Linked DNA regions of Canis lupus familiaris. The protein of the gene in region 1 interacts with the protein of each later gene in a pairwise test. Links are inferred from orthologs where the notes say so. Each region holds a gene or a part of one and is shown in the gene's direction. Other genes may lie near its edges.

What was found.
Region 2: the proteins of SNIP1 (region 1) and DVL2 interact in a two-hybrid assay, tested with the Homo sapiens proteins (2 studies listed by BioGRID and IntAct). The two-hybrid records come from large-scale screens. The link is inferred for Canis lupus familiaris from reciprocal best matches to the Homo sapiens genes SNIP1 and DVL2.
Region 3: the proteins of SNIP1 (region 1) and SRPK2 interact in binary tests that used the Homo sapiens proteins (3 or more experiments, as listed by UniProt). The link is inferred for Canis lupus familiaris from reciprocal best matches to the Homo sapiens genes SNIP1 and SRPK2.
Region 4: the proteins of SNIP1 (region 1) and SF3B1 interact in a two-hybrid assay, tested with the Homo sapiens proteins (2 studies listed by BioGRID and IntAct). The link is inferred for Canis lupus familiaris from reciprocal best matches to the Homo sapiens genes SNIP1 and SF3B1.

Annotation. Positions count from the first base shown.
Region 1 is NC_049236.1:5,004,383-5,012,395, forward strand, and holds the end of SNIP1 (smad nuclear-interacting protein 1), read left to right. Parts: intron 1-3,591; coding exon 3,592-4,190; intron 4,191-5,082; coding exon 5,083-5,347; 3' UTR 5,348-6,570; downstream 6,571-8,013. UniProt on the Homo sapiens protein: Required for pre-mRNA splicing as component of the spliceosome. As a component of the minor spliceosome, involved in the splicing of U12-type introns in pre-mRNAs. Down-regulates NF-kappa-B signaling by competing with RELA for CREBBP/EP300 binding.
Region 2 is NC_049226.1:32,401,790-32,408,841, reverse strand, and holds the start of DVL2 (segment polarity protein dishevelled homolog DVL-2), read left to right. Parts: upstream 1-50; 5' UTR 51-93; coding exon 94-287; intron 288-375; exon of another isoform or gene 376-1,312; intron 1,313-1,988; exon of another isoform or gene 1,989-2,589; intron 2,590-2,773; coding exon 2,774-2,843; intron 2,844-3,084; coding exon 3,085-3,230; intron 3,231-3,360; coding exon 3,361-3,470; intron 3,471-3,575; coding exon 3,576-3,711; intron 3,712-3,844; coding exon 3,845-3,935; intron 3,936-4,065; coding exon 4,066-4,135; intron 4,136-4,221; coding exon 4,222-4,361; intron 4,362-4,438; coding exon 4,439-4,515; intron 4,516-5,056; coding exon 5,057-5,124; intron 5,125-5,254; coding exon 5,255-5,383; intron 5,384-5,474; coding exon 5,475-5,606; intron 5,607-5,725; coding exon 5,726-5,905; intron 5,906-6,275; coding exon 6,276-6,494; intron 6,495-6,609; coding exon 6,610-7,052.
Region 3 is NC_049239.1:15,285,573-15,294,025, forward strand, and holds the start of SRPK2 (SRSF protein kinase 2), read left to right. Parts: upstream 1-2,740; 5' UTR 2,741-2,745; coding exon 2,746-2,841; intron 2,842-3,128; exon of another isoform or gene 3,129-3,143; coding exon of another isoform or gene 3,144-3,276; intron 3,277-3,629; exon of another isoform or gene 3,630-3,708; coding exon of another isoform or gene 3,709-3,724; intron 3,725-3,813; coding exon 3,814-3,868; intron 3,869-5,556; coding exon 5,557-5,616; intron 5,617-8,453. UniProt on the Homo sapiens protein: Serine/arginine-rich protein-specific kinase which specifically phosphorylates its substrates at serine residues located in regions rich in arginine/serine dipeptides, known as RS domains and is involved in the phosphorylation of SR splicing factors and the regulation of splicing.
Region 4 is NC_049258.1:6,805,456-6,813,468, reverse strand, and holds part of SF3B1 (splicing factor 3B subunit 1), read left to right. Parts: coding exon 1-166; intron 167-441; coding exon 442-587; intron 588-693; coding exon 694-840; intron 841-975; coding exon 976-1,101; intron 1,102-2,030; coding exon 2,031-2,252; intron 2,253-2,528; coding exon 2,529-2,711; intron 2,712-2,804; coding exon 2,805-2,916; intron 2,917-3,923; exon of another isoform or gene 3,924-3,993; intron 3,994-4,391; coding exon 4,392-4,512; intron 4,513-4,855; coding exon 4,856-4,987; intron 4,988-6,095; coding exon of another isoform or gene 6,096-6,123; exon of another isoform or gene 6,124-6,547; intron 6,548-6,993; coding exon 6,994-7,266; intron 7,267-8,013. UniProt on the Homo sapiens protein: Component of the 17S U2 SnRNP complex of the spliceosome, a large ribonucleoprotein complex that removes introns from transcribed pre-mRNAs.

The DNA of each region.
Region 1 (8,013 bases):
AGATGGATTCTTGTTTTCTTCTTCTTAAAAATTGTTTAGCTATACTAGTTCCTTTGTCTTTCCGTGTAAATTTTAGAACAATCTTGTCTCAATCTGCAAAAAATATCTTGCTAGGATTTGGATAGAAATTGCAGGAAGTTATGTTTTGGGGAAAATTGGCTTATTATATCGAATCTTCCACTCCATGAACACTGTTCAAGTCATTTATTTAGATTTTGGATTTCTTTCTTCAGTGTTTGTAGTTTTTAGGATTTAAGTTCTCTATATATTTTGTTATATTTACACAAAGTTTTTTTTTGGGGGGGGAGCTGATTATAACTGATATCTTACTTTTTAAAGATTTTGTTAGAGAGTGTGTATGAGCAGAGGGGAGGGGGCAGAGGGAGCTGGACAAACAGACTCCCTCCTGAGCAGGGAGCCTGATGTGGGACATGGGACTCGAAACCAGGACCCCAGGATCATGAGCTGAGCTGAAGGCAGATGCTTAACTGACACTGAGCCACCCAGGTGCCCTATAGGTGATACTTTAAATTTCAATCCACATGTTCATTGCTAATCTGTAGAAATAATAATTGATATTTCTATGTTTTTCTTATATCCTATGACCTCACTGAACTCAGCTTATTTATTCCAGGCGAGTTTTTTATAGATTTCTTGAGATATTTTACATAGACAATCATATCTTCACATAGGGATAGTTTTACTTCTTCCTTTACAGTCTGCATTTTATTTCCTTGTCTTGCCTTATTGTACTGGCTAGGACTCCCGCACTGTGTTGAATGAGAGTAGTGAGAGCAGACAACCCTTGCTTTGCCCTCAATCATTTTTTTTTTTTTTTTTTTTTTTTTTGCCCTCAATCTTGAGAGACAAGGGTTCAGTCTTTTAAAAGAAACTCTATGTTACAGTGTGCAAAGAGACATTAAGAAAACAGATTTTCCTTTTACTTTGAGAGACTGTGGGCCAGCTTTATAATATCTCAAAGATAGAAAGCCAGACAGCCTTGGTGGTGTGCAGTGTGAGTTGATCAGGTGCTGCTTCAGCTATCTCAGAATGCAGCCCCCAGAACCACACCACCCAAATGGGGCCTGTCCACCACTAGTGGTGGCTTTAGTTTTTGGGTTTTTGTTTTGTTTTTTGTTTTGTTTTTGGTGTACAACTGGCAGCTCTATATCTGTGGTTTCTAAATGAAAATTTTATAATAAATTCTAGGGCTTTTAGAAGACAATTTGTCTTATTTATTACAGCCTTGATGTCTCTTCATTTGCGTATCTATGCTACTTTCCTCCTGACCTCAAATTATCTCTTTAAAAGCTAATTTCTGTGTGTTAATCAGCTGAAAACTTGGAAATGGCTTTCAAGCAAAAGGGCTTGACAGACAGTTGACAGTAAGTGACTTTCACATGGGCTAATCCTAAGGAGGAATGCACACATCCTCTGACCGGAGCATGACTTGTGCTTGCAGACATTCTCTCTCCACACCTGTGCCACCATTTAAAAAATGTTTACTATTATTATTATTTAAAAAATAAGTTTATTGATTGCATGCTCATTGTAATAACAAAGAAGTACATAAAGTGAAAAGTGAGAGTGTGGTGTATGTAGTGCATGGTTACTTCTGTTATACCCCAAAATCACAGCCCCCTCCCCCCAAATCACCTGACTCCCCATCAGCAACCATTTCAGTAGTTTGATATGTATACTTCAAGGCTCTATTATGCTTATGTTCGCTTTTTTTCCTTTATGTTTTAGTTACGCATCTCTGTTTTCCATGCAAAATTTTTAATTAAAAAAAAGGACCATATTATATATGTTATCTTACTGATAATTGAAATCTTAGTTATTTTGTGTTATCCGGTTATATATCTGTCTTTTTTTTTTTTTTTTTTTTTTTTTATGATAGAGAGGGGGCGGGGCAGAGACATAGGCAGAGGGAGAAGCAGGCTCCATGCACCGGGAGCCCGATGTGGGATTTGATCCCAAGTCTCCAGGATCGTGCCCTGGGCCAAAGGCAGGCGCCAAACCGCTGTGCCACCCAGGGATCCCATATATCTGTCTTTTAAAAAAATACTTAATTTATTTATTCATGAGAGACAGCAAGCGAGGCAGAGACATAGCCAGAGGGAGAAGCAGGCTCCCTGTGGGGAGCCCAATTGGGACTTGACCCGGGACCATGACTTGAGCTGAACACAGATGCTCAGCCACGGAGCCATCCAGGCACCCCAGTTTGTCATATTCTTTTCCATAGTTTTCACTGATTTTGCCTGGTCTACACATTTTTTAAATTTATTTTTACTTACTGTTTTGTGAGAGAGAGCACACAAAAGTGTGCGAAGCAGGGCGGAGGCGGGCAGAGAAAGAGAGTCTCCTGCAGACCTCCCCACGGAGGGGGCTCAGTCTCACAACCCTGAGATCATTACCGGAACAGAAATAGAGTGGGACGCTTAACCTACTGAACCAGCCAGGTGCTACATCTTTAAAATGAAGACTGAGAATCAGTTGGTTGTTGGAATAGTGGATGTACAGAGCCTTATGGGGATTAGAATACAAGGGAGTTGAGGGTGATGACCCAGAGTCTGTGGCTTCTTGTAGTGACTCATTTAATCAGGGATAAAGGGAATCATGAGATTAGTCCTGGTCAGTGGTGGTGGCAAACTTGGGAGTATCTTAAGGTCGGAGGAATGAGCATCTGATGCTTGTCTTTGGAGGCTAGGAAGTCTAGAAAACTTGAGTTCTGCTCTGAGCAAGCAGTCCTGCACTTGACACCTGTGTGTAGCAGGGATAAGGCCTTGGGAGCAGGGGAGGCAGTGAGATCTCAATGCTCAGGATTTCCTCTTTACCCTTTCCAGGTGGGGTAGCCTTGCTCATCGTGTGTAGGGCTCCCTCTTGAACTCTGATGCTTTGGTTATCAGTAAGGATAAGCTTATTATGTTCGTGTGTTCTTTAGATATTTATTTCTTAGGAAAATTGTTACTATCCTTGCCAATTTTTTTTCCTGTTGAATTGTCTTTCTTATTGATTTATTTTTTTACTATTAATAGATGTTATTATGTTGCATTTTCTACCAGGCTGATTTTCAATACTGAGTCTTTTTCAAGAAACCATAGTATGTTTATTATTTTTTTCAGATCTATCGGCAAATTTTTATAGGTTTCTTATTACATGTCTTGGATATTTCTTAAGTGTAATACTAGTTATTGAACAATTTCTGTTAATTGTTGCAATGAGATCTTTTAATATCATTACATTTTCATTTTGATTTAAGAGAAAACTAGCTTTTTTTCTTTACATGTTTATCTTGTACATGACTACTTAACTCTGTTATATTTTCTGTATATGCTTCCCTATAAGTGTGCCCCAGCTCCTCTTGTTTCTAGGGCTCTGAACCTGGGCTTGCAGCATTAGAGCTGTAGTCGGGTGACAGCATGGAAATAGTCTATGTAGCCTTGCAAGGGAATATAACTATCACTGCTAACCTTATTTCTGTCGGATATTTTGCTCTAAATGCCAAAGTCCAAGTCCCAAATGGGTTTTTGAACGCAGTTGTTCAGAGTGTGGACTGCCTTATATATACTGGATCTGTTTGGATTTCAGGAACGCGAGGATCATCCCCGGAGAGGACGTGAAGAACGGCCGCACCGGGAACCATCGGGCCAGGAGCACAGGCGGGCTAGGAACAGTGACCGCGACAGACACAGGGGCCATTCCCACCAGAGGAGAAGCTCTAACGAGAGGCCTGGGAGCGGGCAGGCTCAGGGACGGGACCGAGACATTCAGAATCTACAGGCTCAGGATGCAGAGCGGGAGTTTTACGATGCCCGACGACGAGAGAATCGCCAGAAGAATGAAGTTAATGCTGGTGGTAAGGAGTCTCAGGAGTTGGTTCCTCGGCCTGGTGGCAACAGTAAGGACAAAGAGGCACCCGCTAAAGAAAAGCCAAGCTTTGAACTTTCTGGGGCACTTCTTGAGGACACTAACACCTTCCGGGGTGTCGTCATTAAATATAGTGAGCCCCCAGAGGCACGTATCCCCAAAAAACGATGGCGCCTCTACCCCTTTAAAAATGACGAGGTGCTTCCTGTCATGTACATCCACCGGCAGAGCGCCTACCTCCTGGGCCGGCACCGCCGCATAGCGGACATCCCAATTGATCATCCCTCCTGCTCCAAGCAGCACGCAGTCTTTCAGTATCGGTGAGTCTGTTTGCGGGAAAAATCAGAAGCGTGGGCAGAGCTGAGAGTTTCAGGATTACTGACATTTGTGTACATGTATTTGCAGAAGAATCCCATATTCAGATCTAATCTTGGTCTTAAGAGTACCGATCTAACTGCCCTTTGAATAATCACTTCCATTTCTCTGAAAGCGTCGCATTTGGTGTCAGAAATCCAGATTTTGAATCCTGCCATTGCCACTGCCACCTTCCAGGTGTTTGGCCTGGGCAAGCCATTTTCTGGGCCTCAGTTTCTCCCTATCTCATAGGGCTGTTTTTAGGGTTAAATGGAAGTGTACCTGAGAGTGTCTGGCATGTGTGCTTGTTAATCTGTATTTGACAGTTTGTGTAGGACATCTGTTACTGTTTGATCCTCACAACACTCCTATGAGGAGGACAGGTCACTTGTTAATATCCCCATTCGACAAGTAAGAAGACTGAAGCTCAGCAGAGCCTAGTAAATGATCTGGTTCAAAATTAGCTCCCTTGACTCTGAAGTCAAAATCCACTGCTTTATTCTCATTGGGACAGGAGCTAAAATATGTTGAAATACTGGTGAAAGAAGCATTATCTTGGTTGTAAACAACACAAATATGTATTTTCTTAATCGTGGCAAGAGATCTTGGATTCTGATTTTTAAACTTTTGGTCTTCCATGACTTTCCCCTACCCCCTAGCAAGCAGTTCTACTAAGTATATTTACTTACTTACTCCCAATTTCCAAATCCAGGGCCGTACTTGCCCCTTGGTTTCCTAGAGTTTGGACTTGAACTGTATCAAGCCAGATAATTTATATCATCTTGGTTGTGTTAGCGAAATGTTGGATGGTCTGAAATGGGATTTTGCTCACAAGTTTCTCTCTTTTATCTCTGCTAGGCTTGTGGAATATACCCGTGCTGATGGGACAGTTGGCCGAAGGGTGAGGCCCTACATCATTGACCTTGGCTCAGGCAATGGAACGTTCTTGAACAACAAGCGTATTGAGCCACAGAGATACTATGAACTAAAGGAAAAAGATGTACTTAAATTTGGGTTCAGCAGCAGAGAGTATGTCCTGCTTCACGAGTCCTCTGACACCTCTGAAGTAGACAGGAAAGAAGATGAGGATGACGAGGAGGAGGAGGAAGTATCTGACAGCTAGCAAACTAAGAAACAGCCCAAACTCTTGAGACCCTTTCTTTCTTTAAAGGTTTTGGGATTGACTCAGAGCACCATGGTGCTCTCTGTATTGCCTCTTATTGCCTTAAGTCTTTCCTCTGTTGCTGACCATCTTATGTTATAGTATAAGAAAACTGACTTCTATTTGGTTGAACTTTTTTCTGTGGCACATCAGCCCCTTGCCTGTGGGCATTTGTTTTCAGAACAGTGTCACCAACACATCATGTTTCAGTAGAAGCATTGTGGCTTTAGTTGGTGCTTTCAGAACTGCCGCCTAGGAAACTACAAACCCTTGGTTCAAGGGGCATTGTGGCTTGTTCTCTTTGTACAGTTACTTTATTTATATAGTTGTTAAGCTCTGTGGACTGGGTTTGTTTTTGTTTGTGGGGCAAACCCCTGAACAGAGAATCCTATACTAAGCTTTGGTTGTCACCAAAACAGCCTCCAGTATATACCAAAGCTTTGACCTGGTTGAGCTCTTGAGTCACAGAAGTTGATTTTGCACTTCATTTTTGGGGGGGTGGGAATTTACCACATGACCTCATTATTGACTGTTGGACTTAAACAAATGCTTTATGGAAACTGCTTAAGCATACGACTGTACAGGAAGGAAGATCCTGGCTACTGCCAGTGGGTGCTGATTTAACGTCACAAGAGGCCGAAATGGGTCATGGATCTGTTTCCTTGTGAGACAATTCTGATTTTTCCATAGAGCATGTGCATAACAATTTTGATCATCTTATCTGTTCAACTTTGCATTTTTATTCAAACATTATCTCTTTCCTCTTTTCAAAACAGTGGCATCTATGTAGCAGGGTCCTTGTTTTATTCTAACTGCATTGTATATGTGTAAAGGAGGTTGTGTAGTTTACACATTTCATCTTTTTAAGAAATGTTCAGAGAGGTTGTATTTACCTTCCCAAGGCTGGAAAGCAAGGGAGTTGCCCTATTTCCTAATTTCCCATCAGAGGAATATGTGTAAGTAGCAAAGTCGTAACTACTTACATATACTGTGTGTATGTGTGTGTGTGTATACATAAAAGTGTGAGTGAAAGAACTGCATATACTGATTTTCATACGAGAATGTTTTGTGATGTAAATGTAATACTACATTATAGGCAAAGGCCTCCCTGCATTTGAAGAGCAGGTTTTCATTTATATGTATTTTTGGGATAAAAAATAATAAAATTTGTAAATATAGCCCCATTTCAAAGGGTTATCCTTTTCCTGGCAGAGAGGACCATGTGTCTATAGGTTCATTTGCAGCTACAGGAATCTTTGTATCAGTATTTTTGAGGTAAAAATAGGTCATTGCAGAGAGGGTGTGCTGGGGCGAAACCAGGAAATGGGGAAGTAGGGCCAGTGGCAGCTCTAGAAGCCAGACCCTCACACGTCGGTGAGTGCTGGTCCTGTTGAAGCAGAAGCGTTTTCACAATTGGCAGTGAAGAGGTTTTCCTTTCCAGAATAGTCCTTTGGGGCTGGTTCTAATAGCAGGTCTTGCACCACTTGATCCCTGGTCCCTGCAGGGTTGCTCTCTGATGGGGGGGAAGGAATGTTGTGATGCAACTTGGTGCTGCTGCCCCCATTCCTCTTGGTAACTTAAGATGTTGTGAGATTGTCTTTCTTACCATTGGTTTTCCTTTAAGGTCCCCCATGTGGACTCTGGGCTAGGTGCTGAGTAGTGTTTATGCAAAAGAAATGAAAAGATCCCCTTGAAGAGTGAATACTTAATGAGATCAGTTAGATGTAGGGAGGCTCCAACAAGGAAACGGCAGTTAGTACCCCCCCCCCGCCCCCACTGTACTCCACACTGGCTACTGTGACTGCTACTTTCCTATCTCCTATCTGCCATTAGACCTCCTACTACATACGAGCATGCCTGAAAGGTAGGTTTTGCTTTTTTTTTTGGGGGGGGGGGTAGGGTAGGTTTTGCTTTGATGGATCCAGACTGATGGCTTTCTCTTGCTCGGATTAGGCACTAACCTGGCCTCCCAGGCCTCCTGTTCATTTTGTGCTCCTACTACTGCTTCCAGATAGCCTTGGGCTTCACTGCTGGGCAGCATGATAGATGACCACTTGGCCTAAGTTCTTCAATAAGAGGTCTGGTTGTGAAGTAAACTTGGTTAAGTGGAGGAATAGTTTCCTGCATTAATAGATTCTTTGTGCCAAACATCTGGAAAGGTGCCCCCCCTCCCACATATGGTGTTTTGTTTTGTTTTTTTGTTTTGTTTTGTTTTGTTTTGTTTTGTTTTGTTTAAGACCTGTTGGGTTAGGAGCAGCCCGGGTAACTCAGTGGTTTAGCGCCTCCTCGGCCCAAGGTGTGATCCTGGAGACCCGGGATCGAGTCCCACATCGGGCTCCCTGCTTGGAGCTTGCTTCCCCCTCTGCCTGTGTCTCTGCCTCTCTCTCTGTGTCTCTCATGAATAAATAAATAAAATTAAAAAAAAAAAAAAAAAAAGGGTCAGGGCACCTGGGTGGCTCAGTCGGTTAAGTGTCTGACTTTGGCTCAGGTCACGATCTCAGGGTCCTAGGATGGAGCCCTGCTTCAGGCTCCCTGCTCAGTGCAGTCAGCTTGCCCCTCTCCCTCCACCCCTCCCTCGCTGCCCCCCCTCCCCTCTGTGCACGCACATGCACGCACATTCTCTCTCA
Region 2 (7,052 bases), on another chromosome or scaffold:
CTCGCGCGGCGGGGTGCGGGTGTGCGCAGGCGCGGTGGGGGCGCTTCGCCCGGTTGGGTGGGCGGCGGGACCTGGGAGCGCGCGGGCGAGACCATGGCGGGCAGCGGCGCGGGGGGCGGCGGCGTCGGGGAGACGAAGGTGATTTACCACCTGGATGAGGAGGAGACTCCCTACCTGGTGAAGATCCCGGTTCCGGCGGAGCGCATCACCCTCGGTGATTTCAAGAGCGTCCTGCAGCGGCCCGCGGGCGCTAAGTACTTTTTCAAGTCTATGGATCAGGATTTCGGGTGAGCGCGAGGCCTAGGCTGGAACCGGTGGGGGCTGCGCGGCGGTGGATCGGCCACTGCTGAGGGGCACAGGTCGGCCCTAGGCCACGCTGGGTTTTTCTGGGCTGGAGTGCTGGACAGGGCATTATGCGGGGGTTAGATTGGGCATCCCAGGTTGGGTAAGGTTACGCTTGGACAAATCGAGACGCACGGAGCTCCAGGACGACACACCGGGCCGTGCCGAACCAGATCAGGAAAGATTAGGCTGTCCTGGAATAGAATGGGGCACACTGGTTTATTTGGGAGTTATTCTGGGTAATCCGATGCCTTTCGAGCAGTCCTGCGGCCCACGGGCAGTATTGTGGAATCTCCCGATGATTGGGCCGTGTTGGGGTGCTTTAGGGCATTCTAGACCATCCTAGAGCAGATAAGATTGTTTGGGGACATCTGGCCTGTTCTGGTGCAGAAAAGGGTGTGTTGGGATGTTCTAGGCTGCTTTGGAGCAGATTACCAGGCTCTCTCGGAAGAATTTCCTGCTCTTCTGTCTCTTCTGGGTTGTGTTGGTTGATCTTAAGTTTCTGTTGGGGTCAAGTGTTTCATGGGGACGCTCTGTAGAGAGGCAGACAAGGTTTTTGAGGCTATGCCAGTGCAGACAGCTGTATTGGGATAATCTGGTCTATATTGGTATGGACGGCTGCGTGTGGAGACGTTGTAGGTCATTGCTAAAATAGCCCAATATGGCTATTCTGGAGTGTTTGGAGTCATTCTGGGCCAGACTTGGATTCTTAATAATAAATTTGCTTATGGTTTTTGAGGCTGAGTTCTCCAGGTAGCCAGCCTCAGCTCTTGAAGGCAGGCTGGATTGGCCTGAGACAGCCCATGTTCTGGGATAGCTGAATGGACTGGCTTCTACTGAGAAAGACCGTTGGCCGTGAGGAAGGTGGGACTGTGTTGGGAGTTACCTTTGATTTAGATCGAAATTCCTGTTTGTTAGCAATGATATGACCCAGGAGATAGACACAGTTGGCACAAGAAACTTCGTATAGGTAAGCGATGCACAGTAATTTTTTAGCGAGTTGTGATGATCGCTAGCGTCGAGCTCAGCTAATCTGTAAACGGGGTTATGGTGATAGAGAGTGGAATCATTTGCCGGGCTGGGCTCCGCCGGGACTGGGTTACATCTCTAAGAATCCAGCATTATATCGAGACAGAGCAGTGGTAGGGATTGGGCTGAGTGGCCCTATCGATAACAAGTGGGATTAAGTTGTCACGCATCCAGGCTCCTAGAACCATATTAGGGTAAAGGGTTAATCAGACAGGCTGTCCTAATTTGGAGGTGAGGATGTGAGTATGAGAGAGACCTTCTGTTCAATACTCAGTCTCTCAGAGCTCGTGTTTGTTCATGAGATACTTGTTCAACAAGTATACTCGTTAACAGTATTGAACAGATATTTATTAACATTCACTTTACCACCATCAGGGTCTTTGCTGTGTGGCCAGGATGCAGTGTTGAACAGAATAGGCTGTGGTGGGATCCCTGGGTGGCGCAGCGGTTTGGCGCCTGCCTTTGGCCCAGGGCGCGATCCTGGAGACCCGGGATCGAATCCCACATCAGGCTCCCGGTGCATGGAGCCTGCTTCTCCCTCTGCCTATGTCTCTGCCTCTCTCTCTCTCTCTCTCTGTGACTATCATAAATAAATAAAAATTAAAAAAAAAAAAAAAGAAAAAAGAAAAAAAAAGAATAGGCTGTGGTGATCCCACGTGGTGGTTGAGAAGAAGGGGCAAAGTCCTGTCCATCCCAAGGAACCCAGGGGAGGAATGACCCCAAGGCTGGGCTTTGAGGTCCGTCAGGCAGAACAGGTTGCTCAGTGTAGAATTTTGTGCCAGATGAGCCCCGGGGGAAGGGGAAGGTGGGCTTCACCTCTCCTTGGGAGTGCTCAGCCTAGCCAGTAGGTGTCATCCTTGGGTCTCATGGGTATATTTTCGTGGGGGAAAGGTAGCATGTTGGGCTAGGGCTTTGGACATGACTCAGAGAAAACCAAGAAAGCATGAGAATAGAGACTTTGGAGGGTTTGGGGACGGTGCCTTGAGGAGCGGGGTAGGGCTCAGGGAGGTTTGGGGTCATTCTGGGCTGTTAGAGACACCAAAGGTTAGAGATCTTTGGGGCAGTTGGGGTCACCTGAGGGAGTGGGACGGTCGTTGAGATTGGAGAATGAGGTTTGACTCAGACTCTAGGAAATCTTTGGACCAGCATAGGAAATCTTTGGACCAGCATTGAAAGCCGAGGATGAGCTGGGGAGAGGAGGAGGAGGAAGGAAAGGGGGTGAGTGAATTTGGAGACTCCCGGGGCATGAGAGTGAAGTGTCTCGGTGTTGGGGAAGAGGGCCTGGCCGGCTGCATGAAAGTCATCGTCCTTGAGCTGGACGAAGATGAGAAGCCTCGAGTCGGGGTGCGTGTGGGGGGCGCTAGGGCGATCTCACTGGTTCTTGTGTTGTCCCTCCTGGCAGGGTGGTGAAGGAGGAGATTTCAGATGACAACGCCCGCCTTCCCTGCTTCAACGGGAGGGTGGTGTCCTGGGTAAGCAGCCCTGTCCATCCCGCATTGCCAGGGTCCTGTCAGTCTGGGTCCTCACCACTCCACCTGCTTGGGAGCCAGCTGTAGCTCCTCAGCCTTCTTCTGGAGCATCTACCGCTCCCTCCTGCTTTCCCTGTGCTTTTCGCAGGCCACGTGCTTGCTCAGACCCTGTGTTCTTCCTGTCTTCCCACCTCGGTTGCCTCCCTCCTTGCTTGAGTCAGTTTTTGTCATTGCATCTTTCCAGCTGGTGTCGTCAGAGAACCCCCAACCCGAGATGGCTCCCCCAGCCCACGAGCCCCGGGCAGAGCTGGCACCGCCCCCCCCACCGCTACCCCCCCTGCCACCGGAGAGGACCAGCGGCATCGGGGACTCTAGGCCTCCGTCCTTCCAGTGAGTCTCTGGGATTCTTTAGTCCGGGGGAGGGAGGCAAGGAGGAGACCCCAGACCCTGGGCAGGGGGAGGTTGAGGACACGGAGCCCCGTCCCCCTGACGCGGTCGCATGCCATCTCTGTCCACCTAGCCCTAACGTGTCCAGCAGCCGGGAGAACCTGGAGCCTGAGACGGAAACCGAGTCAGTGGTGTCCCTGCGGCGGGAACGGCCTCGTAGGAGAGACAGCAGTGAGCACGGTGGTGAGGGGGGCCCAGGAGCCCAGGAGCTGGGGGCTGGGCTCAGGCCCCCCTGTGATGGGGGAGGCAGCTTGAGGCCAGGTCCCTGAAGGTTCTATTCTTCCACAGCAGGGGGCCACAGGCCTGGTGGACCCTCGAGGCTGGAGCGCCACCTGGCCGGGTATGAGAGCTCCTCAACCCTTATGACCAGCGAGCTGGAGAGCACTAGCCTGGGGGACTCCGATGAGGATGACACCATGAGCAGGTGTGGCACCCAGCCCTGCACTTCCCAGCGCCACCGGGTGATGTCCTCCAGGCCCAAGCTGGTCTCTGCCTCCCTCCCCCCCCCCCCCCACCTGCTCTGCCAGCCAGCACTCCCCTTCCTCTCCTCCGGACAGATTCAGCAGCTCCACGGAGCAGAGCAGCGCCTCTCGCCTCCTCAAGCGCCACCGGCGGCGGAGGAAACAGCGGCCACCCCGCCTGGAGAGGGTGAGGGGAGCTCACGGGATGGCTGCGTCTTACAGGCGTAGGGAGCCTTGGTCTCAGGGGTATGTGGGCCCAGAAAGTGAGAATCTGGGGTCCTTGGAGGCAACCCAAGCCTTCCCTGTCTCCCCGCTAGGCTTCGTCCTTCAGTAGCGTCACTGACTCCACCATGTCTCTCAACATCATCACAGTCACACTCAACATGGGTACGAGGGGGCCCCGGTTGGGGGTCCAGGGCGGGGGCCCCGGGGAACGCTGGCTGGCTTCCTTGTCATGGGCGCCTGCTCTGCAGAGAAGTACAACTTTCTGGGCATCTCCATCGTGGGCCAGAGCAACGAGCGGGGCGACGGCGGCATCTACATTGGCTCCATCATGAAGGGCGGTGCGGTGGCAGCCGATGGGCGCATCGAGCCGGGTGACATGCTGCTGCAGGTGCCCTGTGGGGGATCTGGGGGGCAGGTACGTCTCACAAGCTCTCACCCACACTCACTCGCCAACCTGGCTTCCAGGTCAACGACATGAATTTCGAGAACATGAGCAACGATGATGCAGTGCGGGTGCTGCGGGACATCGTGCACAAGCCGGGGTGAGCCACCTCTCATCTGCTCTCCTGGTGCCCGTGGCTTCACCCTTAGCATGGGCGTGGTGGTGCGTGTCCAGAGGGGCTGAGCCATAACGTGACATCACCGTGGGGCAGAGGATGGCCCGCATGACCCCCACCTGATCGTGAGCTGGGGGGTTGTGCTCCAGAGTCTGCAGTCCCCTCACCAGTCTCCCTGGCAGGGAGCGCTGCCCTGGTGTCCTTTGTCATCTGTCATCACTGCACTGCTTTGCCTCCCCTCCCCTTGTGTGTGTGTCCATGTGCATGTGTCCGTCCCCATCCTCGATCAGCGGGCTCAGCTTCTGTGACCTGGACTGGCTCTGCATGGACCCATACATAGAGTGTGTGTGGTTCTGTGTTTCAGCCTCATTTCTAGTGTTGTCTGTGTTGGTGGGTCACCCTCACTGATGCCTCCAGGCTCAGCTCTCCAGCCTGGTCTGTCTGTGTCTCTGTCCATCCTTCACCCTCGCAAAGCCTCGCCCCATCCCCCCCGCCCCTGCCTGACTGCGTCTCCCCTTCCCCACAGCCCCATTGTGCTGACTGTGGCCAAGTGCTGGGATCCGTCTCCCCAGGCCTATTTCACTCTTCCTCGAAGTGAGTGCTACAGGGGAGGAGGATGACAGGAAGGGGTGGAGGAGGGTCAGGGCAGAGGTGGGATGGGGGTCGGGGTCTCAGTTGGGGAGTGGCAGGGAAACGATCATTGTGGGGACCTTCTCTGTCCCAGATGAGCCCATCCAGCCGATCGACCCAGCTGCCTGGGTGTCTCACTCGGCTGCACTGACTGGCACCTTCCCCACCTACCCGGGCTCCTCGTCCATGAGCACCATGACATCCGGGTCTTCTCTGCCCGAGGGTGAGCCCCCAGCCCACCTCACCCTCCCCTCCCTGGGAGGCCTTTCAGCAGTGTGTGGCCCGGTCTCTACTCCTCATTTCTTCTCCGATAGGCTGTGAGGGCCGGGGTCTGTCCATTCATACGGACATGGCATCTGTCACCAAGGCCATGGCAGCTCCGGAGTCTGGACTGGAAGTTCGAGACCGCATGTGGCTCAAGATCACCATCCCTAACGCCTTTCTGGGTATGGTTGGGCCCCAGGCAGGTGGCATGAAGATAAGGTGGCAGTGGTGGCCCAGGCAGGGGTGAGGCAGGGGTGAGGCAGGAGCTGGAGAGGAGAACCTGAGTGCTCTCTGATCTCAGGCTCGGACGTGGTCGACTGGCTCTACCATCACGTGGAGGGCTTTCCCGAGCGGCGGGAGGCCCGCAAGTATGCCAGCGGGCTGCTCAAGGCGGGCCTCATCCGCCACACTGTGAACAAGATCACGTTTTCTGAGCAGTGCTATTACGTCTTCGGAGACCTCAGTGGCGGCTGTGAGAGCTGTAAGTCTGCGTGTCCCCACTGCCTCGTTCCACCTCCAGTAGCCAGCCAGGGCCACTGTTAAGCAGTGTGTGTCCTGCGTTGGGACCTGCCCTGGCCAACAATATCCCCCTGTGTTTTGTGGCCAGGCTGGCCCTGGGTGCAGGGCTGGGGTACCCGGGCAGAGAGGGGGTGCTATCTCCTCTGGAGTCTCACGAGAGCATGTGGTACTTGTGGCCCTGGGAGCAATGGCCGTGGTACACGAGGAGTGTCCTGTCGGAGGCCCTTGTCTTCACCTCCATCATGCATGATTCAGGGAATCAGCTCCTCTGCGATGCCTGACATCCCAGCCTCTTGAAGCAGTGACTCTCCATCTCCTTTTTTGCTTTCCAGACCTGGTCAACCTGTCTCTGAATGACAACGATGGCTCCAGTGGGGCTTCAGACCAGGACACCTTGGCTCCTCTGCCTGGGGCGACCCCCTGGCCTCTGCTGCCCACCTTCTCCTACCAGTACCCAACTCCACACCCATACAGCCCGCAGCCGCCCCCCTACCACGAGCTGTCATCCTACACCTATGGTGGCGGCAGTGCCAGCAGCCAGCACAGCGAGGGTAAGTCATGGTCTGACAGCGGGTAGCGCTGGTGGTGGGCATGGCCCAGAGAACTAGGAAGGCCAAGGGACACTGGGCCAGGGCTCAGGCGGCTTCATCCCCTCCACCTCCACAGGGAGCCGGAGCAGTGGGTCAACACGAAGCGATGGGGGGGCAGGCCGTACAGGGAGGCCCGAGGAACGGGCCCCTGAGTCCAAGTCCGGCAGCGGCAGTGAGTCTGAGCCCTCCAGCCGTGGGGGCAGCCTCCGGCGGGGCGGGGAGCCGGGTGGGGCTGGTGATGGGGGCCCTCCCCCTTCCAGAGGCTCGTCAGGGGGTGTCCCCAATCTCCGAGCCCACCCTGGGCTCCATCCCTATGGGCCACCCCCGGGGATGGCCCTCCCCTATAATCCCATGATGGTGGTCATGATGCCCCCCCCTCCACCCCCTGTCCCACCAGCAGTGCAGCCCCCAGGGGCCCCTCCTGTCAGAGACCTGGGCTCTGTGCCCCCAGAACTGACAGCTAGCCGCCAAAGCTTCCACATGGCCATGGGTAACCCCAGTGAGTTCTTTGTGGATGTT
Region 3 (8,453 bases), on another chromosome or scaffold:
TAGGCAGAGGGAGAAGCAGGCTCCATGCAAGGACCCCAATGTGGGACTTGTTCCCGGACCCTGGGATCACACCCTGAGCCAAAGGCAGAAGCTGAACCGCTGAGCTACCTAGGTGCCCCAAAACCCAGGGCCTCCTTTGTTTTTTCTTCTTTTTTTCAGAATTTATTTTTTTAAGTAATACACCCAACATGAGGCTCGAACTCACATTCCCAAGATCAAGAGGCGTGTGCCCTACTGAGCCAGCTAGGGGCACCCCCTATAACCGCTATAGTGTTAATTGATTCAGGCAAGCATCATCCATAGACGCTAAACCCACAGAGTGAAAGATTCTTGGGGAAGGATACTCACAAAATTTCAAAGTACTACCCCACAGGATTTTTTTTTAATTTTTATTTATTTATTATAGTCACAGAGAGAGAGAGAGAGAGGCAGAGACACAGGCAGAGGGAGAAGCAGGCTCCATGCACCGGGAGCCCGACGTGGGATTCGATCCCGGGTCTCCAGGACCGCGCCCTGGGCCAAAGGCAGGCGCCAAACCGCTGCGCCACCCAGGGATCCCTTGTTTTTAAAATTGAAGTGAAATTCACCTAACATGAAGTTAATAATTTTAGAGTGCACAATTCAGTGGCATTCATACATCCACAATATTGTGTCACCACCATGTCTTTCTAGTTCCAAAGCATTTTCATCACTACAAAATAAAACCTTATATCCATTAAGCTCTTGCTCCTCATTTCCCCTCCCCCCAGCCGCTGGCCACCACCTATCTGCTTTCTGTGGATTTGCTAATTCTAGATGTTTCACATAAATGGAATCATGCAATACAAAACAGACCTTTTGTGTCTGGCTTCTTTCCCTTGGCATAATGTTTTGAGGTTTATCCATGTTGTAGCATGTATCATTCTTCTTTTTCTTCTTCACTCTTTTTATGGGCTGAAAAATATTTCATGGTGTGTGTATACTGCAATTTGTCTATTCATGTGTTGATGGATACTTGAGTTGTTTCTAACATTTTGGCTCCTGTGATTATTACTGCCATGTGCATTTGTGCACAAAGATTTGAGTACCTGTTTGCAATGGTTTTGGATATATACCGAGGGGTGGAATTGTTGATAATTCTTTTTTGTTTTTTGAGGAACTGTGAGGCTGTTTTTGACAGTGATTGCGCCATTTTACATTCCCACCAGCAATGTACAAGGATTCCAATATCTCAATATCCTTAACAAGACTTATTTTCCATTGATTTATTTGTTTTTTTTCATTTTTATTATTATTTTTTTATCTATTTGTTTTTAAAGATGTATTTATTTGAAAGGGTGAGAGTGAGTGGGGGAGGGGACAGAGAGTCTCAAGTAGGATCCCCACTGAACGCTGAGCCTGTGGGACTCAACATGGGGCTTGACATCCGGCTTGATCTCAGAACCCATGAGTTCATGATCTAAGCCAAAACCAAGAGTCTGACACTTAACCGCTTAACCAACTGGGTGATCAAGGCAACCTTTATTTTCTATTAAAAAAACATAGTCATCCTAGTAGGTGCAAAGGGGTGTCTCATTGTGGTTTTGCTTTGCATTTGTCTAAGGAAATTGAGCATCTTTCATGTACTTGTTGGCTATTTGTATATCTTTGGAGAAACGTGTATTCAAGTCCTTTACTCGTTTTGAACATAGACCACTTTTTTAAGTAGAAAAGAATAAAAGCTGGCCTTACTATAGAAAAATGATTAAATGTAACATCACGAATAATGAAACAAACTGACATCATTTCCTTTCTGTTGCAACATACTGAGATGGACACAATATCATCCATATAGCGTACTTGCCAAAATTATTTAACTTGACTTTAACAGGGAACAGATGACTACAAACTGAGGAACATCCTGCAGAACAGTGAATTGGATTCCTCAAAAGAAGTCAATGTTATAAAAGAGAGAGAAAAAAAAAAAAAACCCAACAACAACCAGGGATTATTCTAGACTAAAGGAGTGTAAAAAAGACATGGCAATTAAATGTAATGGACGATTCTTGATTGTATCCTGGATAGGAAAAAAGTCAGCTACAAGGGACATTTTGAAAATGTGAATATGGCCTCTGTATTAATATTAAATTTTCTTGGTATGATAATGGAATTCTGATTGCGTAGAATATCCTTGTTCTTGGTACTTATTGACATGTTAAGGGTAAAGAGTAACGATGCAAAAACTTCAATAATTCAGCAAAAACGAAACAAAGGAACTTCCATAGGCACACATACACACAAGGAAAGCAAATGTGATGAAATGTTAAAAATCGGTGCATATGGGTTAATACGGGTGTTCATTATATTTTTCTCGTAACTTCTCTGTAGGGTAGATCTTTTTGAAAATAAAAAGTTGAGAAAGTACTTAACTAGAGAGAACAAACTGATGGTTACCAGAGGGGAAGTGGGTGGGGATGGCTGAAGTAGGTGCCGGGGATTAAAGAGTCCACTCCCTCTGGGTGATTAAAATAAAAACTTAAAAAAAACATGTTGAGAAAGTAAAAGTTCCATCAAGTCTGAGCAGCGCTTTCAGTTCTTTGGTTTTAGCATCTTTAGGATCAGACTAGTTACTTTGGTCAGCTAAGAACACAGTCGTAGAACCAGAGAGAGTCCGCGGTGGGGCGGATATCTTTCCAAGACACTGTAATTACTTAAACAAACAAAGGAAGAGAGTGCAGTTGTCATTCGGACCCACTATCAGCTTGATTCCCATCTTTATCAGGCGGCATGATCCATGGAAAGGCTTTGGAGTCAGCTAGGCCTGAACTTGCACGGTCCCTCCGCAAACTGTTCAACTACTTTGGACGTCGTCGCCTCCTCGCTGTAAGACGTAGGCAACAACTGCTTGGTGCGATTGTTGTGTTAAATCGTCAGACGCTTGGTGTTTGGCGAGCTGGGCTTTAATTCAGGTGCAAAGAACCCAACAAAACAAAACAACGACTTCATCACGCTTTCCATGCCGTTTGCATCTTTTCCCTCATTACGCTCCAAGCCCGCAGTGGGGTTAGGTGAGGCGGAAGGAGGAGAGGACTTCCCCAAGGTCACACGCTCGTGCGGGTCCCAGGTGTCCCCGCTCCCGGCCCTGTGCCCTTTCCACAGCCGCCAGAGGGGAGCGGGCGGCGCTCATGGGGATGCAGGGATGTCGGGGAGCAAAGGGGGCGAAGAGGCCGCGCGAAGAGCGGTGGTGCGAGACCCGCGGGGGCGCCGGCCGAGGAGGGGCGCGCGGGGAGCGCGGAGAGGCGGGGGGCCCGGGCCGCGGTGCGTGGGGCGGAGGCCGGGCGGCCGCGGCCGCGGGGGCGGGGGGCCCCGGACGCGGGGGGCGGGGGGCGGGGGGCGGGGGCCGGGCGGCCGAGGGGCGGGGCCGGGGGCCGGGGCCGGGGCCGGGGCGCGGGGGGCGGAGGCCGGGCCGCAGGCTGCGCGGCCGGGGCAGGTGGGCGGGGGGCGGGGGGCGGGGCGGGGCCGGCGGGGGCGGGGCGGGGCGGGGGGCGGGGCCGGCGGGGCGGGTCTCGGCGGCCCCCCGCGGGGAGCAGCGGCAGCGGCGGCGGCGGCGGCGGCGGCGCAGGCGCGGTGGCCGCCTCCTCCCGGCTGGCGGAGCGAGTGGAGGAGGCTGCAGCCCGGCCCGGCTCGGCTCCCGCGTCGCCGCCGCCGCCGCCGCCGCCGAGCCCCCCGCCCCCGCTCGGCCGCGTCGGGATGAGCTCCCGGAAAGGTGAGTGGCCCGCGGCGAGCCCTCCTCCCCGCCGCGCGGCCCCTCCGGCCGCCGGCCCGACCGTTAATGGGTGTCTTCTCTTTCCCCAGTGCTGGCCATTCAGGCCCGAAAGCGGAGGCCGAAAAGAGAGAAACATCCGAAAAAGTGAGTCCGTGCCCCGCGCCCCCGGGCCCCCGCCCCCCCGCCCCCGCCCGGGCAGGGCAGCCCGCGGCCGCGCAGGGGAAAGTTGCGGGATCCCGGGGTCGGCGGGCTCGTCCCCCCCCCACCCCCCGGGGACGCGGGCGCTCGCCTCTGCGCCCCGGCGGGCGGCCCGGGGGGAGGGGCGGGCGGGCGGGCGGGGGAGGGCGCGTGCGGGCCCGCGGTGCCCGGCCGAGCACCCTGGACCCTCGGACCCCGGACCCGCTCCCGCTCCCCCGGCGGCCGCCCCTCCCTGCGCGCCGCCCGCCGGGGTCGCTGGCGTCCCCGCCCCGCCGCGCCGCGTGCGGGCGTGAGGCTGCTGCTCGGCTCGCACCTGGGCACCGGCGCCCGGGAGCCGTGGGCTCCGCGTCCTCCGCGTCCTCCGCGCGCTCCGCGTGCTCCGCGTGCTCCGTGGGCTCCGCGTCCTCCGCGTGCTCCGTGGGCTCCGCGTGCTCCGTGGGCTCCGCGCGTGTGTGCGCGCGCGTGGGGCCGGCCTCCTCTTCCCCCCCGGCTCCCCGCCTCCCGGCCTCTTTGCGGAAAGCCGGAGCCGGGTGTCCAGCGGCCGGCCCGGGGGTGCCTGGCGCCAGCCCAGCTCCGAGACCTGAGCGCGCCGGCGCCCGCCGGGTCTCCAGTCGAAACTTTGCGCTCGGGCCGAGCCGCGCTGCGCCCCCGCCGCCCCGGGAGCTGGCGGGAGGGGGTCCTGCTGGAGCCGTGCCAGCCCCCGCCCCGCCCCGCCCCGCCCCGCCCCGCCCCCCAGTCCGCGCGGACCCGAGGGGGAGCCTTTCCTGGAGAGCCGCTCGGAGACCGCGCAGCGCCCCCGCCCCTGGCTTTCGGCGTCTTTCGCTCCTGGATGCGTGGCTTCTCCCTTCCTGTGGAGCGAGACACACTCCGTGGCATTGGGGGTCTTGTAGGGAACGGCGGCCCGTGATCATCCTCAGGACCGGGTCTCGGGGGATCGCCCTGCGGCGTTCCTGGGCTTCCCCCTCCTCGGCGCCTTGGTCTCTTGCCTGCAGAATTTCCTGCCCTCCCTGAACACTGCCCTGAGGCCTCACCAGCGCGGTGCTGCTATCATGACAATTTTTCTGTTCACTCGAGATGGGATAGGGCTTGTAAAGCATTTTCAGGGTTTTCCAAAATGGGCATCTCGCTATAGTTAATGCCTTTTCTTGGAAGACAAAAAAAAAAAAAAAAAAGATTATATTAGAGTGACGGAAACATACTTATGAAGGAATTGAGGAACTGGTGGGTAAAAAAAAAAAATCTGATACTGGATTCTTAAAAGGTGAAAACGGGATGGACGCGGTAGTTGGAGATGCTTTACAAAATGACTTGGCCAGCTTTCAAGTCAGGGCCTTAAATTTGGGATTTCCTTTGAATGTCGGAAGATGAAGCCCGCGAGTAAGGAAGAACTGTAACGTTTAGGATCCTGAGTATTGGGTTTTAAAAACAACCTTAAATACAAAGCATTTATTTTCACATATTGCATTATGTTTAGAAATGTAAAAGGGAATTGGAAAAAAAGCGCGTCCTCGGTTTTGGGAATGGCTATGTGTGTGTATACACGTATGTAATGTGTATGTTGTATGTGGGCATGCGTGTAGAAAAGCAGTTTTAGTTAACTAAGTCAACACGTATTTCATATTTTCATGTTTCAGGGAATGACTATCCTAATGGCCAAGAGCCTTTTTTGGTCTGCTGCAGTTTGGATTTATGTGGTATGTTTATAAAGAATTAGCGTATATCCACAATATCCAGTTTTTGCTCTCAGAGATAACTGTACCTATGTGGTAAGATTTGAGGGAAAAGCCCCCCAGGCAGTGGCAGAGTGACTTGAATGGTTTGCAAGGTAATTAACAAGAGACCAGCCCAATTATATAACAGATTAATGGGGTGCCATTTTTTGCTTAATTCTTTGAATTAAGACACTATTTTAAAGGAATGCTTGATATGATTTATTCACATATTCAACAAGTATTTGCGTGCCTTTTCTTGGAGTTGGTGATGGAGCTTTGAACAAGAAAGTCAAAGCTCCTCATGAAGGTTATATTCTGTGGATATTAGGGGGACCACCTAGGAAGATGACAAATCAGGATGGCAACTTCAGGTAGTGCTAAGGGATAGGGACCAAATTAAGATGAGGTGCCTTAAGTGATAGTGATGACATTTGAACACTGCGCCAGGCACGGTGCAGATAGCTTTACACACCTCTTATCCCTTGTGACAACACTAGAAGGTAGGCACTGTTATTAGTTACCATTCTACAGATGAGCAACTAACATTTCCAGAAACTAGAATGAGGAGGAGGAGATGGGAGTGTGGCAGAGGCCTTGGGGAGGACTGGACTAGGAATGTTAGAAGACCCTAAAGGTCAGGGTGACTGGAGTGCTGCTGGAGAAGGTGGGGCCATGGGAGGATGAGAGCAGGTAGGGCCTTGCCCTGTAGGCCATCAGAGGATTACCCATGGGAGTGACAGGGTCGGTTCCTGTTTTAAAAAGAGCACTGGCCATCTGTGGAGAATGGATTGTCAGGGGTAGGGAGAAGTAGAAACTGGGAGCTGGCCTTCCGTCTATGAAGGAAACCATGGTGACTTGGTTCAGGGTGCAAGCAGTGGTGCTAGAAGTGGTGGAAGAGATTTCAGGAGAGGCCTGCTGGTCTGAGAAGTCCTCATTTTACAGTCAGCCCTGACAGAGGTGATAGTCTGGACCAGAATTCAGGTCTCCTGATGCCCAGTGATTTTATTTTTTCATTAATTCTCCAGTGGAGGAAAAGGAATAATAGGTCTAATTTTAAACCATATAAATAAAAAGATTGGCGAACCTAAATTGTGTAACAAACAACACGGGCCTGGTTTGATGTAATATGATCTACTTTTGTCATTATCCACTTGTATACACAAGCTGACTCTTCATTTTCATTCAATTCATTTCTGTGAGCTTTTATGAATTGAGCCAGTTCCCATAGGCTACTTTTTTAGTACGCTGGAATTTATGGTTGTCAGGAATAACATTAAGATTTCTCTAGTTAGCTGAGTCAAAAATTTAATCTTGTCAGATTGTTCCAGTGAGTTTAGTTTGCTAATTATTAATTGAGCTGCTTTGTGAGTAACATGCAGCAGGGAGGGATGACAGTGTCAATTCAATCGTGAATCTCAAGAATTAGCTAAATCATATGGCTTGGGGTAGTGTTGCTTTGGGGCATGAATGAATATAACATTTTTGAAGGATCTTTATTTTTTGTATGTATGTAACTTTTTCACTAAGACAATTCATGTACTAAAAGATTTAGCTTTTATTTTATTTTATTTTTTAAGATTTAGCTTTTAAAGTGTATAATATGCTGGTTTTTAGTATATTCACAAAGCTTTGGGACCATCACAATTATTAATTTGAGAATATTTTCATCCTCCCTGCCAGAAATAAACCCCATACATACTTAGCAGTCATTCCTTATTTTCCTCTGCTCCTGATTTGTTTTCAATCTCTACAAACTTACATATTCTGGATATTTTATATAAATGGAATCATACAATGTATTAGTTTGGGGTCTGATTTCTTTCGCTTAGCATAATGTCTTCAAGACTCATCCATGTTGAGGCAAGTATTGGTACTGAATTTATACTGCCAAATAATGTTGCATTATATTGATATGCCATGTTTTACTTGTCCATTCGTCCATGATGAGGATTCAGGTTCTTTCCGGTTTTCTTTTTTTTTTTTTTTTAATTTTTATTTATTTATGATAGTCACACAGGGAGAGAGAGAGAGAGGCAGAGACATAGGCAGAGGGAGAAGCAGGCTCCATGCACCGGGAGCCCGACGTGGGATTCGATCCCGGGTCTCCAGGATCGCGCCCTAGGCCAAAGGCAGGCGCTAAACCGCTGCGCCACCCAGGGATCCCTCTTTCCGGTTTTCGACCATAAATTATTATTTTAAAAAATACTTTATTTATTTATTTATATTTATTTATTTTATGATAGAGAGAGAGAGAGAGGCAAAGACATAGGCAGAGGGAGAAGCAGGCTCCATGCACTGGGAGCCCGATGTGGGATTCCATCCTGGGTCTCCAGGATCGCGCCCTGGGCCAAAGGCAGGCGCCAAACCCCTGCACCATCTAGGGATCCCTATTTATTTATTTTAGAGAGAAATAGCATGTGTGCAGGGAGAGGGGCAAAAGGAGAGGGAGAGAATCTCAGGCAGACTCCACACTGAGCATGAAGCCCCTTGCAGGGCTTGATCTCCACTACCCAGAAATCACAACCCAAGCAGAAACCCAGAGTTGGATGCTCAACTAACTGAGCCACCCAAGCGTTTATTTTTTTATTGTATAAGAATTATTATAAATTATTTTTGTATATGAATTATTTTTTAATTCCTTTAAACATTTTATTTCATCATATATATTTTTTAAAAGTAATCTGTACACCCACTATAGGGATTGAATTTACAACCTCCATGAATATGAGTCACGAGCTCTACTGACTGAGCCAGCCAGGTGCCCCAACTCCTTTATTTTATTTTACTAAAGAGATTTTGTTTATTTTATTGGGGGAAGG
Region 4 (8,013 bases), on another chromosome or scaffold:
GCCCTGGGCATTCCTTCATTGTTGCCCTTCTTAAAAGCCGTGTGTAAAAGCAAGAAGTCCTGGCAAGCGAGACACACTGGTATTAAGATTGTACAGCAGATAGCTATTCTTATGGGCTGTGCCATCTTGCCACATCTCAGAAGTTTAGTTGAAATCATCGAACATGGTGAGTTGTAATACAACTTTGTCTATCTTTTTATAAGACAGGTATCCAGAAATTTGGGCTACTGATTTGTAGAGATAAATGGAAGGGCTTCAACTACATCAACACATAGTTTATGATGGGATTTGTAACATCTAAATTAGAGGCTGTGATTCACACTGGCTTTTGCCTCATTTTGACTAATGTGAACAGATTTCTGCAGTTTGATTAAATGATGAGGTTGTGGAAATTACGAAATGTTATCACTTAATAGTTACAACCCTTGTTTGGTTTTCTAGGTCTTGTGGATGAGCAACAGAAAGTTCGGACCATTAGCGCTTTGGCCATTGCTGCCTTGGCTGAAGCAGCAACTCCATATGGTATCGAATCTTTTGATTCTGTGTTAAAGCCTCTGTGGAAGGGTATCCGCCAACACAGAGGAAAGGTTGGTTAACTAAATAGATTTTATTTTTCTTTTGATTTTTCTTCACTGAAGTTAAGGCAACTTAAATCTAATTTATTAATTATATGTATTTTTTATTTTAAAATAGGGTTTGGCTGCTTTCTTAAAGGCTATTGGGTATCTTATTCCTCTTATGGATGCAGAATATGCCAACTACTATACTAGAGAAGTGATGTTAATCCTTATTCGAGAATTTCAATCTCCTGATGAAGAAATGAAGAAAATTGTGCTGAAGGTAATTGTTTCAAATTTTTGTCCCGTATTTGTTTCTGTAAATTGGGTGTGTTTCATGGTTCAAAGAGAATGTTAATGTTAAAACAACTATTGTGTGTTACAAGGCCAATTTTACTATTATTTTTTAACCTTTTAGGTGGTGAAGCAGTGTTGTGGAACAGATGGTGTAGAAGCAAACTACATTAAAACAGAGATTCTTCCTCCTTTTTTTAAACACTTCTGGCAACACAGAATGGCTTTGGACAGAAGAAATTACCGACAGGTAAACTTTTATTGTAAAAAATATTTTCAAGGGGTGCCTGGCTGGTTCAGTGAGTAGAGCATGTGACTCTTGATCTCAGAGTTGTGAGTTCAAGTCCCACATTGGTCATGGACCCCACTTTTTAAAAAGGGTATGTATGTATGTATGTATGTATTTATTTATTTATTTATTTAAAGATTTCTTTATTCATGAGAGACACACACACACAGGCAGAGGGAGAAGCAGACTCTATGCAGGGTGCCTGATGCAGGACTGGATCCCGGACCCCAGGATCCCAGGATCACGTCCCGAGCCAAAGGCAGATGCTCAACCGCTGAGCCACCCAGGCGTCCCTAAAAAATATTTTTTTTTTTTTTTTTTTAAAGATTTTATTTATTTATTCATGATAGTCACACGGAGAGAGACAGAGAGGCAGAGACACAGGCAGAGGGAGAAGCAGGCTCCATGCACCGGGAGCCCGACGTGGGATTCGATCCCGGGTCTCCAGGATCGCGCCCTGGGCCAAAGGCAGGCGCCAAACCTCTGCGCCACCCAGAGATCCCCCCTAAAAAATATTTTTAAAAAATGCTTTCAACTAATTCTTCAGTCAGAGTGAATAAATGTTAACGTATTATTTTTTTCCTGGTTACCTCATAGTATGTGCCTGATTGTGAAAGGAAATTGATTTTAGTCAACCATTTAACTTCGTTTTGATTTTGCATCCTAGGATAAATACCCAACTATGAATTAATGTCTTTGTCAGTTAAATGAAATGCTTAATCTGGCTAGGAATACATGATTACAGTCTAACCTTAAATCACTTTGACTTCTACTCACATTTATGTTTTTTGGTCACCTTTCTCTTAAGGGTTTTAAAACCGGAGTTAACTCTTCTCAGCATTTTTGCAGACCTGAATATATCTAAAAGGTTTTTTTCCTTCTCTTTTTAGTTAGTTGATACTACTGTGGAGTTGGCAAACAAAGTAGGTGCGGCAGAAATTATATCCAGAATTGTGGATGATCTGAAAGATGAAGCTGAACAGTACAGAAAAATGGTGATGGAGACAATTGAGAAAATTATGGGCAACTTGGGAGCAGCAGATATTGATCATAAACTTGAAGAACAGCTGATTGATGGTATTCTTTATGCTTTCCAAGAACAGACTACAGAGGTAAGGATACTAATTATTTTGGCAAATTGCTGCTGACTTTCATATTTGTAAAACACATTACTTTTCAAGCAAGTAATTATCACTAAAATGTAATTGGATTTAAAATGTTTTAAATGTTCATGTTCTCATTCCAGTTGTCTGAGGAAATACGCTTACTTAAGTTTTTAGATTACATTTTGTTATATTAGTATTTTTAAACTATTCAATCACAAACGGAATTATCTAGTTCTCAGTGAATATAGTTTAAAAATATAACTCAGCTTTTTTTTTTTTTAGGACTCAGTAATGTTGAATGGCTTCGGCACAGTGGTCAATGCTCTTGGCAAACGAGTCAAACCTTACTTGCCTCAGATCTGTGGTACAGTTTTGTGGCGTTTAAATAACAAATCAGCAAAAGTCAGGCAACAGGCAGCTGACTTGATCTCTCGAACTGCTGTTGTCATGAAGACTTGTCAAGAGGTAAACTTTTGTATGAGGTTCTTATTTCCTCACCATATAGTTTCATGTAAATGGTAACATTTTAACATGTTTTTTTTTTTTTTATTATTACAGGAAAAGTTGATGGGGCACTTGGGTGTTGTTTTGTATGAATATTTGGGTGAAGAGTACCCTGAAGTATTGGGCAGCATTCTGGGAGCACTGAAGGCCATTGTAAATGTAATAGGTATGGAAATTGCTGGTCATGTAAGAATTTTTTTGTTTTGTTTTTTAAACTTTTTTGTTGAAAGTAAAATATAGAATTATATTTAGGAGTTGAGTGATTTCTGAGATTTTGTTTTTTAAGCACTTTAAAATTAGAGTAAAGTCAGGATGTCACAATAGTCTTGTTTCCTAAAACTCATTTATGTACTTTAAAACGAGAAAAGAGGGCAAGTTTAGGACTGTAAGAGAAGTGGGAATAGTTACAACTCAAAAAACTTTGAAGTCCAATGGAATAGAGAATCCTAATAAAAATAGTTTCTCACCTGAAATGTATTTGGGGGGTAGGGTGGGAGGAGACAATGCTGAAGTTTTAGTTTAGTTTTAGGACAAAATATATATTTAACCTTGAATTAGTAAATGATTATGGCAGGTTTTTCTGTTGGCTATTATGTTCCAGTAACATAACCAGGGAGAAAGTGAATTTTTCAAGTTGTGGTCTCATTTTTATATCTAATTCTTTATCCATTCAGTTTTCAAACTCAAAGTAAAGATAGGAGTATATTACAAATGCTCTTGGGTATGGAGAGCGAAGATTTTATTATTTAAGGACATCATGATGAAGCAAACAAATGGTCTCTTGTGTTTAATCTTTCATTGCAATTGAACATGACTGTTGGGAAAGTAACTTCTCTTTGGTTCAGAGGAGCCAAAATAACCTAGCAGGAGGTCAGAATAGCTGGCTGTGAGAGCCACTTTTTCTCATTTTATTTAGTAAGGGGTTTTTATGCAATGTAGGAGATCTTTGAACCATTGCATTTACATATAACCCCCAATCTAGCCCTGTCTTCTATACTTGATTTGCCAAAAATCAGTTACTTGGCCACTTGTGGGGCTCTGGTTTTCAGGGAGTTGTAAACCATATTGTTGATCAGGGAAACATGGGAAAAGCAATGGAGAGAGAATCAGAACAAGCAATTCTAGTTAGAGCAAGAGCCCCTGCCAGCTGCCTCCTTTTTTCTCTCTTCATAGGTGTAAATACCATCCAAGTATGCCCTGCATTGCAGGGAGACTGGAGATCTGTTTGTTTTGCAGTTAAAGGGTAAGGGGGCCCTTCCTGGAAAATTTTGCTTTAATTTACATGTCTACCTCTGGCTTATATTGTTGTGTATGGCCGGAACATAAACTGTCCCCATATTTAAATGTGAGTGTACAAATACATTTCAGAACCAGATAAAACTTTTTTTTGTTGTTGAGTATCCCATCATTCTTTAAATCACTTCACTAATTTCTTTCATTTCTATGCATAATCAGAAGTTTTAATAAAAAGTTAAAAACAATACTGAGTCTGGTCAGAATCTGGGGCTTTTTCTTTCCATAGGCAGCTGTAAGTTTATATATATGCCTAGTCATGTGTATTACATTGCTAAGTAAAAGGTAAAATGAACAAAGGGTATTGTTCAAGAGTTTATTGATAGTGTGTTGACTTCTATTAAATAGGTATGCATAAGATGACCCCACCAATTAAAGATCTCCTGCCTAGACTCACCCCCATCTTAAAGAACAGGCATGAAAAAGTACAAGAAAATTGTATTGATCTTGTTGGACGTATTGCTGACAGGTAAGTAGATTACTTAAACATTTTTATGAGCTGTTTGGTTGGTTGTGAGCTTTTGGTTTTAACAGTTAGCCACTTTTTATTCACTGCACATTTCTTTAATGTTGTTAATAGAAGTATATATGATAAGACTACCCAGTGAAATTTTCAGTGAAATTTCAATTTAGATGGTAATGAAGAGGTGGCAATATAGTTTTAAGATTAAACCATCCTTTCTGAAGAGTAACATTTTTTTATTTAATGCTTAAACTGAGTAGGTAATCATGTTTTGAGAATTGAATTTTTGTAAGATTACCTTCTAAAATTTCTTGTTATGGAACAAATTAACTTTTTTCTTTTTAAATAGGGGAGCTGAGTATGTGTCTGCAAGAGAATGGATGAGGATTTGCTTTGAACTTCTGGAGCTCTTAAAAGCTCACAAAAAAGCTATTCGTAGAGCCACAGTCAACACATTTGGCTACATTGCAAAGGCCATTGGGTGAGTATTACTTACTTTTATACATATGTTTTTAACTTTGTAATAAACCCATTGTGTTGAAAAACTTGTTTCTTAAGTAATCTCTAAAGGGCATGGTATGAGTAATGCAATTGAGAAAAAGCACATTTAACCGATGACCTTCAATATTTGAGATGTTTTCTTAAATTTCAAATTGAATTAAAATAGGAGAGCTTTAGGTTTTTAAAAAAAGTATATATATATATATTTATTTATTTATTTTTAGAGAGTAAGCACGGTGGGGAGTGGCAGAGGGGGAGAGAGAGAGTCCTAAGCAAATTTGGGGCTCAATCTCATGACCCTGAGATCATGACCTGAGCTGAGATCAAGAGTCAGACGCTTAATTGACTGAGCCACCCAGGCACCCCTAGATGGAGAGTCTTATATTTTAATTTAATCACACCGCAGATATTTTCAGAAAGGAAAATGGTACCATCTTTAGAATCATTCCAAATTTTTGTTGGTCTTTTTCAGGATATTTTTTAAAAATGTTATGGCCAGTTCTTAATAAAATAGCATAATTTAAGTTTCATGTTCATGCTTTGTGTGTGTTTGTTTTATTTTGTTTTCAGATTTTATCTGAGAGAGTGCAAGCATGAGGTTGGGGGAAGGGCGGGGGTGGGTGGGGGAGCAGGGAGCAGATTCCCCAGTGAGCAATGAGCCCAATGCAGGGCTTGATTCTGGGATCCTGAGAGCATGACCAGGGCCAAAGGCAGACACTTAACAGACCGAGCCACCCAGACACCCCAATACTTTGTGTTTTAAAAATATTTATCTAAGATGAATCCACCAACAACTGAAATTGTAACTGTTAGATAATCTATGGTTATTTACTTCCACTTCCTCAGAACCAAACTAGAAAAAAATAGTCATTTTAGAAAATGAGATACCATGTATACATGGGGCTTAATGACAAAATATTTTCTTTTTCTTTCTTTTTTTTTGACAATATTTTCAAGCGGTAAAACATAATAAAAGTCAGCTTAATTAGAGTCCTCACCCCTTCACCCTCTTTTTGGTAGCAGTAATTATTTCAGCAGTGATATATTCAAGACATTTGCAGTGAGTAGCTTTTATGTTTTTTTTTTAGCTCCCGTGTCTTTCCAAGTTTGTGGTAAAATAAATTCTGGAAGAAGTATACGTATGTAATAAGGTATATGGGAGAGAAGATAAGGAAAGTAGATCTTGTGTGTTGGGGCATGAGAGACCACAGTTTGGATATTGCCTAGCTCTACTGGCCATGTTTTGACCATTCTAGAATTGTTCAGTCTAAACATTTAATTAAGCTTCTTTATATTAGGAAGTTCATTAAAGACTGAATCCACGGGCGCCTGGGTGGCTTAGTCGGTTAAGCATCTGCTTTGGCTCAGGTCATGATCTCAGGGTCTTGGAATTGACCCGCACATCAGGCTCTTGGCTCAGCTGGGAGCTCAGCGGGAACCTGCTTCTCCTTGTTTCCCCCTCTCCCCCCAATCTGTGCGTGCGCTCTCTTTCTCTCTCTCTCTCTCTCTCTCTCTCTCTCTCTCTCTCTCAAAATCTTAAGTAAAACACATTTAAAAAATATGAACCCATTAAATTTTTTTCTTCAAAAGATTTTTTAATTTAAATGAAATTATTGGGATGCCTGGGTGGCTTAGTGGTTGAGCGTCTGCCTTTGGCTCAGGGCCTGATCCTGGATTCCTGAGATCGAGTCCCTCATCAGGCTCCTTGCATGGAGCCTGCTTCTCCTCCCTCTGCCTGTCTCTGCCTCTCTCTCTCTCTGTCTCTCATGAATAAATAAATAAAATCTTAAAAAAAATAAATGACGTTCTTCAGTAGAAACAAATGCCAGTGCCAAATTACTTTAGAGTATTATATTTTATCATAAAATTACAAAGTTCCCAGTAATTGTTTAATGTACAGTTTTTCCTTTGCGTTTTTTTTTTTTCTTTCCAAAAAAAGATTTGATACTTAATCTGACAGTTTGCTGACATACTGCTTTTTTTCAGCCCTCATGATGTATTGGCTACACTTTTAAACAACCTCAAAGTTCAGGAAAGGCAGAACAGAGTTTGTACCACTGTAGCAATAGCTATTGTCGCCGAAACATGTTCACCCTTCACGGTACTACCTGCCTTAATGAATGAATACAGAGTTCCTGAGCTGAATGTTCAAAATGGAGTGTTAAAATCACTTTCCTTCTTGTTTGAATATATTGGTGAAATGGGAAAGGACTACATATATGCTGTAACACCATTACTTGAAGATGCTTTAATGGATAGGTAAGTGACCCAAATTCAATGCAAGAAAGTAGTTTTCATTCTTCCTTTATGTTAGCACTTATTGGAATAATTATTATATGACCTACTTATTATGGTGCAGTTAAGGGGAATACTAGCCTGGATTTTTATGAAAACTGAGTATGATTATTTTTTAAATAATCTAAATGTTATTGCGGTTCCCCACATTTTCTCATCCAAGTGCCCCCTCCCCTTTTTAACCCTTATTCTTTCATATCTTTAGACCAAATACATTTTGAAAAGCAGTAATCGATAAACTTTTGTTTTAAAAATTAAAGTCAGATATAAATAAAATTAGAGGAAGTGATGAGCATGAGCTTATTGGTGTGGCAAAGAGACCTGATCTTTTTAGCTTTGTGTTATTTATTGGATGCGAAGCAAAGATTTCCAGTAGTCCTTTGAACTACTGAACATAGCCACGCTGTTTCCAGTTTAGGCCCCCAGTTGTGGAGACCGTGGTTACTGACGCAGTACTACTGCTTGAATTGTTTGTCAGATTCCTGGTGCCTCTAACCGTCTAGACTGACATACAGCTTTAAACACAAAAGTAATTAAGAATGTACGAAAGGTCAAGGTCCAAGTAGTAATGGAAATGACTGTTTGGGTTCTTTATTTTTCAGGAAAGATAAACTATTCAAATTAGAGCCAGTTCATTTACTTTTGTGTACAGATTAAAGTTACTCATTCATGACCTTCCAAAAGGGAGACTTAATAGGACTCAGCAAGTTA